2 linked regions of the Bombyx mori genome follow. The protein of the gene in region 1 interacts with the protein of each later gene in a biochemical or structural test. Links are inferred from orthologs where the notes say so. Each region holds a gene or a part of one and is shown in the gene's direction. Other genes may lie near its edges.

Region 1 (4,619 bases):
ACATAGTCGCGGTCTGAAAATGAAATTTTACAATTTTAGTATTTTTCTGTTATATATCACCAGACATGCCCTATGGTTTCACCCTTGTTATACTAATATTTTAGAAATGTTAAACACATATTTTACCGAGGTAAAGATTTTTTGGAACCCAATCCCCTGGTAAGGTTTTGGTAAAATCACAAACTATGAATTTTCATATCTTATTAATTACAATTGAATATAAACAGCATTGTTCAGGTTATGTTGTTATTATGATAAAAAAATTGTTATAAACTATTTAAATATGTGAAATTTATTTGAGTAATTTTTGAGTGATCGCATAAACAATATCCAAACTTATAAACTTTCACATTCATAATATTAATTGGTTGAAAACCTATAGAAAAATATAAGTAAGATATAATAATTATTTTTTTTAAACTCGTCATAATGAATTAAGGACTACGTTTTGCAAAGTTCATTCAGTATTATGTACACCATGTAATAACATCATTAGGAAAAGTATAGCTTGAAATAGAATGATAAAAGAACATGCTGCACTGACATCGCAAGATGTGGGATAATGGCAAGAATCACCCTATTTTCAAAATAATAGTTTCCGATTTTAATATAACTATTGTAAAATAAGTTTTTTATACAATTAGTAATGAGCAGTTGTATTATTATGGATTTGTTGTTGTCATCTTACAGATCCTTTACAATAAAAATCTTGTAAGGAAATCTATGGAGTATTTTATTTTAATTAACAGCTTGGATCCATTATTTTACTTTTATTTATTAATATCATAAAAGTTCCTTTATGTTTAAAATAAATCGTTATGGATCAATTAGTTAAGATGTAATTTTTAAAACTTTGCAAGATTATGTAAACTTACTTTTGCACAGATAGAAATGAGTACTCACCGAAATTACCTATATTTTAATGTGATTTACGGTCACTAAAGCATCGACGTACCGTACTTTCGGCAAATCATTTAATCAAGATCTGCACAAAACAATTTTCGAATTACAGAAATAAATTATGCATCTGTCAATCAGTCAGATGCAATTTATAATCTTCGCACTTTTATTTCACAACACAGCTATTCAAAGTCCCTTGAAAATTAATTAAGTAGTAGATATTGTAATAAGTTCTATTAAGTTGCGATTCTAAGCAATAATGGTTTCAAAAAAACTAATTTAAGGTTATTTCTTTAATTTCCTTGAAAATGCAAAATGCACTTTCGAATTCGACGAAACGCAGTAATCGCTTTATTGTGAACTGAATTAAATTTAGAATATCAGCTAACGCTGTCTCTTTCATCCATGAAGAGAAAATGTATTTATGTTCTTGTTTGCCATTTGTATTCAGCTATGATAGAAAGTTGGAAAATAACGTGCACCAATAAATGGAAATGGAACAAGCTTTTAAAAAATGGATTTCGAGAAATAGCTTGGCTGAATAAATTTAGATTCTATTTCCCACCTGAAAGTGTTTCGCAAAACATTGGGTTCAAATTAATTTAAATCAAATATGTATGTATGTATCACAAGACAAAAAATTAATATCGACTGATACTGATCACTGTTTTTCTGATACGATCAAAAAAATAGAAATTAAACTGTGAGTACTTATTAAACCTATTGTTCTAATAATATTAAAGCATTTATAATGTAAGTACCTACCTAGCAGTATGGGTATAAAACTGCTAAATCAAGTTCAAAGGAATGTAAAGAATCCATTCCACGCAGAATTTGCTAGAAGTCGCCGAAATGAAACCTGGCAACACAATTACATTTTTCAAAAAAAAAATAACCAAAAGGTCGACGACGTTAGCCAACTCATCGGTCTATTTGACGTAAAATTAGAGATTATGTTTGTTTTCCGGTCATAAATGTTATGAATTCGGCTTTATTTATTGCAAGATAGATAATATATAACCACAATAAACATGGAGGTACAATATCTCGTGTTGTTACTGAGCTTAATCTGGCATGGAACTGATGCGATTATGTGGAGCTTGGCGCCGAACACACACAAGTGTTTGAAAGAAGAATTACACGCCAACGTGTTAGTTGCAGGAGAATATGATGTGACAGAAATACAGGGGCAAAGAGTTGACTATATTGTGAGTATAATTTCTGACATAACCAAAAATGTTTGTAATATTCAAACGCCATGGCTTATGTACACCACTAGATATTTATCGTTTAGGATACAAACAAAAAATTTACAGAGAAATATTTGAAAATGAAAAAATGTAGGTACTACTTTTTTGAAAATAGACATTTTTTTTTGTAAACAGGAATAAACGAACAGTGTAACTCAAAAAAAAGACAGAAACAATAATGATTTCAATTATTACAGATTAAAGACTCGAAGGGGCACATCTTATCACAGAAAGATACAGTAACAAAGGGAAAGTTCTCATTCGTCACAGAGAATTATGATATGTTTGAAGTTTGCTTTATATCTAAAGTACCATCAGGTAATTTTATTTCGGAACTAACTGAATAATTCTTTAATATTTTAATTTTAATAAAGGTTCTTTAGATTAGTTTAGAAAGTACATAGAGATCAGCATAGAAAAGTAGGTCACAGTTTACTGCTACTTAATATACCTTCTGATGTTTTAAGTATTACGAGTCTAAGTAAAACACTAGTCTGCAAAGGCATTTGCTCAAATAGCCTTTCTGATGATCTACCCCGTAGATATTTTTAATAGACAGATTATAATGTTGAGCAGGAAAAGATTACTCTAGTTAGTACTATAGGACCAGTTAGTTATGATCGGCTGGTTACTTCAAAGTCCCAGCAATGCCAATGCTGTCATCTATCACCAAATCATATGACTATTTCAATGCAGTACTAACCAGGATGGTGGGCCCTTATGTGGACTGATAATACATCCTACCACTAGTAAAAAAACATATACAGCATAATTAACCATTAATTTAAATACCCTTTTCACCAGGGCTTGAAGGGTTTTCTTTTAATAATATTTGTGTTGATCGAAGTTATGTACACAAATAAACAAGAACCAACCCCATAATTTATAGGTGCAACAATGTTGTGTAAATCTGTGTAGGCCTCTCCTATCTCTTGTCCCTCAAAGCAATCAAGCCTTCTGATTTCACTAACAGAAGTCATAATCGAAATATGTTATTGGTATCCAAATCTAGCCTTGTTGCTGCTATTATTTCCCTTATAAAGGCATTGCATTGCAACTGCTATTATTTCCCTTCTAAATGCATTCTCAGGTCAGCTATTCTCTATCAGCAGTGAAGTTGATGAGATCAAATAGCTGTAATTGATACAAAAAAAATTAAAACAGAAAATCTATTGGCCATTTAGATCTCATTCTTGCAACACCTGATGTCTTATTGTGGGTAGCAAAGTGCTAGCCGGCTGTTCCAGATATAATTCATCATCATAATCAACAACGGCCCCCAGTCGTCCACTGCTGTACATAGGCCTCTCCCAATCCCCACCACTGAGCCCTTATATAATTCACTTAACTGATATAGTATAGAAAAGGTTTTTTTTTACTTAGCTGGGGACTATACTTTTAATACTGTATAAACTATTATATGTATGTATGTATATGTATATGTGATTTTGTATATATGTAGATATACTTTTTTTGTATGTATTCGTAACCTAATATAAATTTCATTGCACCTACCACTATTTACTCTGCACTACCTTTGGTTGACTGTTAGAGAATGCCTTAAGCATTAAGTCCGCCAATGTTAATTTTAATTAAAATACAAAATAAATAAATATACTTATACCCTACGTTCAAATTATAAAATGTTTGCTGTCTTGCCTTTTAAAGGTGATACTATTAGTTTATTGGTTTGCTATGCTATGATATGCAACTGAAAATTCGACAAGTGCAAAGAATAACATTGTAATTCAGTTTTAGGTAAATATGATTTACAATGTTATTTTTTCTATGTTTCAATATTATTTTATCCGAAGAAACATAATATAGCTAGCCAGTAATGTTATATTGTTTTTTATTGTCTATTTCTGAGCAGCCTCTTTCTGAGAAGGCTTTGGCTTTAAAACGAAACATCTTTAATTAATCAAAAACTTTTTATCTATTTATTTATGTAATGTAAGAGTTTGTCTGATATTGTGGGCTTGTTGATATCTATTGATCATCAAAAATCTGCTCTAGCCTATTCTTCTCCATCACAATCTCAGATTGTAGCTTTGAAACTGTTATGATTTTGTTGTTGTTGTGGCATTCATTTTATTATATACTGGGTTTTTCTTGATTCAAAATCGTCCATTCAAGTAGTTTTGTTAAAAATATTTGATTCTTCATATTTATGATGAATTACTTCACCTTTCGTCATTATGCATTGCAGTGTTTTCAGGTACTTAAATGAACTCTTCTCTGATGGTAGGTAGTGTCAATAGTAAGCCTGATTATTTAAATTTCTCATATATTTTTTCAGAAAGAAGAGGTATTCCACATCAAGTAAGCTTAGATATTAAAATCGGCATAGAAGCAAAGACTTATGAAGGGGTAAGTTAAAATATTAGTTAATCATGAAAGCAAAATATTTCCATTATTATAGTGTTCCATTATATATATAATTAAACAGAAGAAAATCATTGAAATTAT
Region 2 (4,392 bases), on another chromosome or scaffold:
ATACACAAGCCAGCGAATACTCTTTTTTTTTTCTTTTTTTCCTACCTATGCTGATAGCCTTGAGAGGCTATTTCAGCTTCGCCCTAACGTTTGTAGGTGAGCTCGCGGGGCTCAACCGGAGAGTTGCTAACACTGACCCTAGCAAGAGCAGTGCTTCGCAGAATCTACCATCGGATCGGAAACGCGACCCACTGAGAAGATCCGGCGAGAAACTCAGTGGGCTGTCTCTATGGGTTAGTTCGCTCGTCGAGCCCTTCGTCGCAGGCGACGGGTTCGACGAGGACGGTGACCGGTGCTTGTGGTGCCTAAAAGCATCGTTAATGGATCAGGAGGATCCGTAATGACGTGCTTTGGGCGACGTCGACGGTTTACCATTCGGTCTACTGGGTCGGGTATGTAGTTTCCAGCGGCTACGATGAGAGGGTTCTCATGTCGTGCCGCCTTCTCAAAATGGCGCAGCGATGCCGACTGTAGATACTTACTAAAAGAGTCGAGCTCCAGGTCATCGTGGAGATCCACGTTCCTCCGGAACCATGGCGCTCCGACGGCTATCCTGCAGAATCGGGATTGAATAACCTGAAGGGATTTCAAGTGGGTGCGGGCTACGTGAGCGAACACTACGCTTGCATACGTCATGACGGGCGAATGCTCTGCAACGTTACAAATGTAGGTACATCCACATTTACTTAATAATATTAAACAGTTTTTGGTAATATTGTGTGCTACAGTTTTGCCTTACACCAAAGATACACTGCGGTCGAATATATAATAGTCTCCACGAGACTCACTAGATGGCTCTTTTTGCTATTTCTGATAGTATGTAGATTTCTATGACAAAAAAATATCGGTAGAAACGCTGAATTTTCTTAAAGTACTAACATCTTTTGAATATACTTGCTTGTGTTCAGAATTTTAATTGAAATATATTTTTGTGCGTAAAGAAACAGATTCAGAAATTAAGGAGATGTTGTTCTCTGTACATAGCTTACTTAATTTCCCAGTATCATTATCAAATTCACACTTAAAAATTAATATTAACGCCCAAATTTTAAAAATAAAATATTTTTTCATATATATATTTTTTACTACAGTACATACATACGTTTCCTTAATTGTTTAAAAATAAATTGATACAAAGTTATTAGAAACGACTCATCCAAATCATTCAATCTCACATGCGCAAGAATGGAGGCATAATTTTACGATTCACTTATTAAATGCTTCTGTCTTTTATTTATTAATGTGTATGTAACAAGATTTCATATCATATTACTTTTTCCATAAAAAACCCAACTTGTCGACCCAACAATTCAAAAGATTTTGTAGCTTCCCTTTGCCTTTCCGAGTTGACAAAATGTGAATATTTCCAGATGTTCAGATGTCAAACTTAAACACGTCAACGCGGATGAGTTTGTCGCTGTTGGTTAATTAATGTGGAATTTTTAATTCTTTAAAATAATAATACAGTGAAAAATTATTAACCCACACAATGGTTCACACAACGATGGAAGGTTCTCTGTTCGTAAGTGATTTTCTAACTTCAAACAGATTTATTTTGCACTTTAAAAACATTTCAACCAAAACACAAGATAGAAGAATAGTGATACCTGTATCTTTTAGTAGTTAATACACAACGTGTTAGTACACCCATAAATGCAACCCACGGTTTCTCGCCGGATCTTCTCAGTGGGTCGCGTTCCCTATCCGGTGGTAGATTCTGTGTAGCACTGCTCTTACTAGGGCTAGTTGTTGGAGTTTGAATATAAATGTAATGGCAGGCAACACTTGACACATGATTACAGATTTCGAATATTAGAATTATTTTAAATGTTTAAAAAACAGATGATTGTATTCTCCTAAGAAAAAGTCGTACTTCTCATCTAGACACGGTCAGAACAACATGTAAGAGTTTTATAAAAAATATAAAGATAATAATTGTATAATGGTGTAAAAGTGTTCAAACTATATGCAATATAATTATAATGAAGCAGTGTGTTTTTAAATAGCCCCTCATCAACCTACAGAACCCAATCCCTCAAATTTAACCATCCAACACTAGTGTTAGCAAATTCTCTCAGGTTGAGCCAGTGTGCTCACTTACCCGTCTGGGCATAGCTTGAATAGCCCTCTAGGCTACTAGCGAATATTTAGGAGGCAGAATATAGTACAGGCAATGCTAGAGGAATGTATACTTGATAACTATCAAATCTGTAATCAGCAAACGTTAAAGCAAACAATGCATCAGAGTTAATTAACAATCACTTCACAATTAGCGGTAGGCAGCGGCTAGGCTCTGCCCCTGGCATTGCTGAAGTCCATGGGCGACGGTAACCACTCACCATCAGGTGGGCCGTATGCTCGTCTGCCTACAAAGTCAATAAAAAAAAAAAAAACACTAATAATCCTTACACCTTAAAATACTGTTATACTTTGTATTGGTCTGTTGATTGTAAAAACTAGAGCTAACCTGTCAACAGACCTGTCCCTTTTTAAAATAATAATCTCGTTATTATAAGGTGGTCTGAATATAAAAATGCTATTAATATTTAGACTTCTTCACTTTTAGGACCTTGAATAAATTATGCTCTAAATTTTAAGTCTGATAGAAACTTGATCCTTTAGGGATAATGATTAAGAGACTACAAAAAAACATATTTGGAAATGACCGGTGGAGCTCACGGACAACAGCAAGATTGCTGTGCCCTACCTCACGAGATGGGGTTGAAATCTTTATTTCTGAATTATATAACAGATCACTCACTCTCCAAATTGGAACCCATACTGCTTTCACAGCAAAGATAGCAAAAATACTTATTTCAAATTAGGTATTACTAAGGTATTAGGTATTTGTACACTTGTATGCTTGCCACACATCATTATGTAAATTTCAATGTTTTTCATGTTCTAGGAACCCACATTGTACATTGTCAAGGGGATGTGCATTTTGGACTATGAAGGAAACAGAATTTTGGCCAAATATTACGATAAAGACGTCCTACCCACAACTAAGGAGCAGAAGGCATTTGAGAAGAACTTGTTCAATAAGACTCACAGGTCAATATTAACTACATGACACTAAAACTAACATAATTTCTCAATTGGAATATAATTATAATTATATAAACGAATATTAATATTTTGGCTTGTCTGGAAAACTTCTTATAATGTAACTCTCACCAATGACAAGCCATAAACTAACTATCCATCTCAAGTTGTAGAATCAGTATATAATTTCTTTTTATATTAAAAGTTATAGGGTAATCTCATTAAGTTTGAGCCCCGTGAGCTCACTTACTCACCTGGATAATCTAGTATAACCCCTCAAGTTTACTAGAATAGGTAGGGAAAAAAACTTAGGGCAATCATGATAATTCATAGATAAAAATTATTTTAAGTTAACAATAATTAAACTGGAACAATGCTGTAAATATTTTAAGAAAATTATGGATATTTTAATAAATATTTTTTAAAACTAGTTTTTTTTATATATGTTTACAGAGCAAATGCAGAAATCATAATGCTGGATGGTCTTACTTGTGTTTATAAAAGTAACGTAGATTTATTCTTCTATGTTATGGGAAGCTCCCATGAAAATGAGGTATGATGTGTTCCATAATTTTCTTTTCTTTGTCAAGCTGTTACAATAACCACAATACTTTTAACTTTGTCTTAGGTTTTATTATTATTATTTCCCCAACCTATCCTAACGCCTTGAGAGGCTATTTCAGCTTCACCTTAACATGTAGATGAGCTCACGGGGCTCAAACTGGAAGTGTTGCTAACATTGGTCCTAGCAAGGGCAGTGCTTCGCAGAAGGCGACGTCGACAGATTTTATTATCGGTCTTTGATCATAGAATGAAAAAGCCATGAAAAAGCTTCGTAAAATCACAGTCAAGATTGTCACAGTCTCTGTTAATAAATAGATATAAAATGATTACTAAATAAGATAAAGTTTTTTTATTACTGAAAACAAATGACACAGTCATTCTGCTCTAATTTAGCATTCCCTGTGTTATGGGTACCAGAGATTCCCAACCCACTGAGTTTCTCGCCGGATCTTCTCAGCGGGCCGCCATTCCGATCCGGTAGTAGATTCAGTGAAGCACTGCTTTTGCCACAGCTAGTGTTAGCAATTCTCCCAGGTTGAGCCCGTGAGTTCACCTACCAGTCTACGCGAAGTTAGCCCCTTAGGCTACCAATGATTAGGTAGGAAAAAATAACAAAGAAAATCAAGAAAAACAAAACCAGAGACTGATAAACATACTTAAATATGTTTAAATAAATACACATATATATGATAAACGCCTAGAAAATGAACCGACAAACCTGTTCATCATACAATGTTTGCCCAATAAAAGGATTGAACTGTCGATTATAAGCCCTATAGTCAA

What was found.
Region 2: the proteins of transmembrane trafficking protein precursor (region 1) and COPZ form a complex in vitro, tested with the Homo sapiens proteins (2 studies listed by BioGRID, with this or other methods). The link is inferred for Bombyx mori from reciprocal best matches to the Homo sapiens genes TMED10 and COPZ1.

Annotation. Positions count from the first base shown.
Region 1 is NC_085131.1:11,844,074-11,848,692, reverse strand, and holds the start of transmembrane trafficking protein precursor, read left to right. Parts: upstream 1-1,804; 5' UTR 1,805-1,931; coding exon 1,932-2,108; intron 2,109-2,347; coding exon 2,348-2,468; intron 2,469-4,449; coding exon 4,450-4,520; intron 4,521-4,619. UniProt on the Homo sapiens protein: Cargo receptor involved in protein vesicular trafficking and quality control in the endoplasmic reticulum (ER) and Golgi.
Region 2 is NC_085108.1:4,788,568-4,792,959, forward strand, and holds the start of COPZ (nonclathrin coat protein zeta 1-COP), read left to right. Parts: upstream 1-1,370; 5' UTR 1,371-1,489; coding exon 1,490-1,522; intron 1,523-2,908; coding exon 2,909-3,054; intron 3,055-3,498; coding exon 3,499-3,598; intron 3,599-4,392. UniProt on the Homo sapiens protein: The coatomer is a cytosolic protein complex that binds to dilysine motifs and reversibly associates with Golgi non-clathrin-coated vesicles, which further mediate biosynthetic protein transport from the ER, via the Golgi up to the trans Golgi network.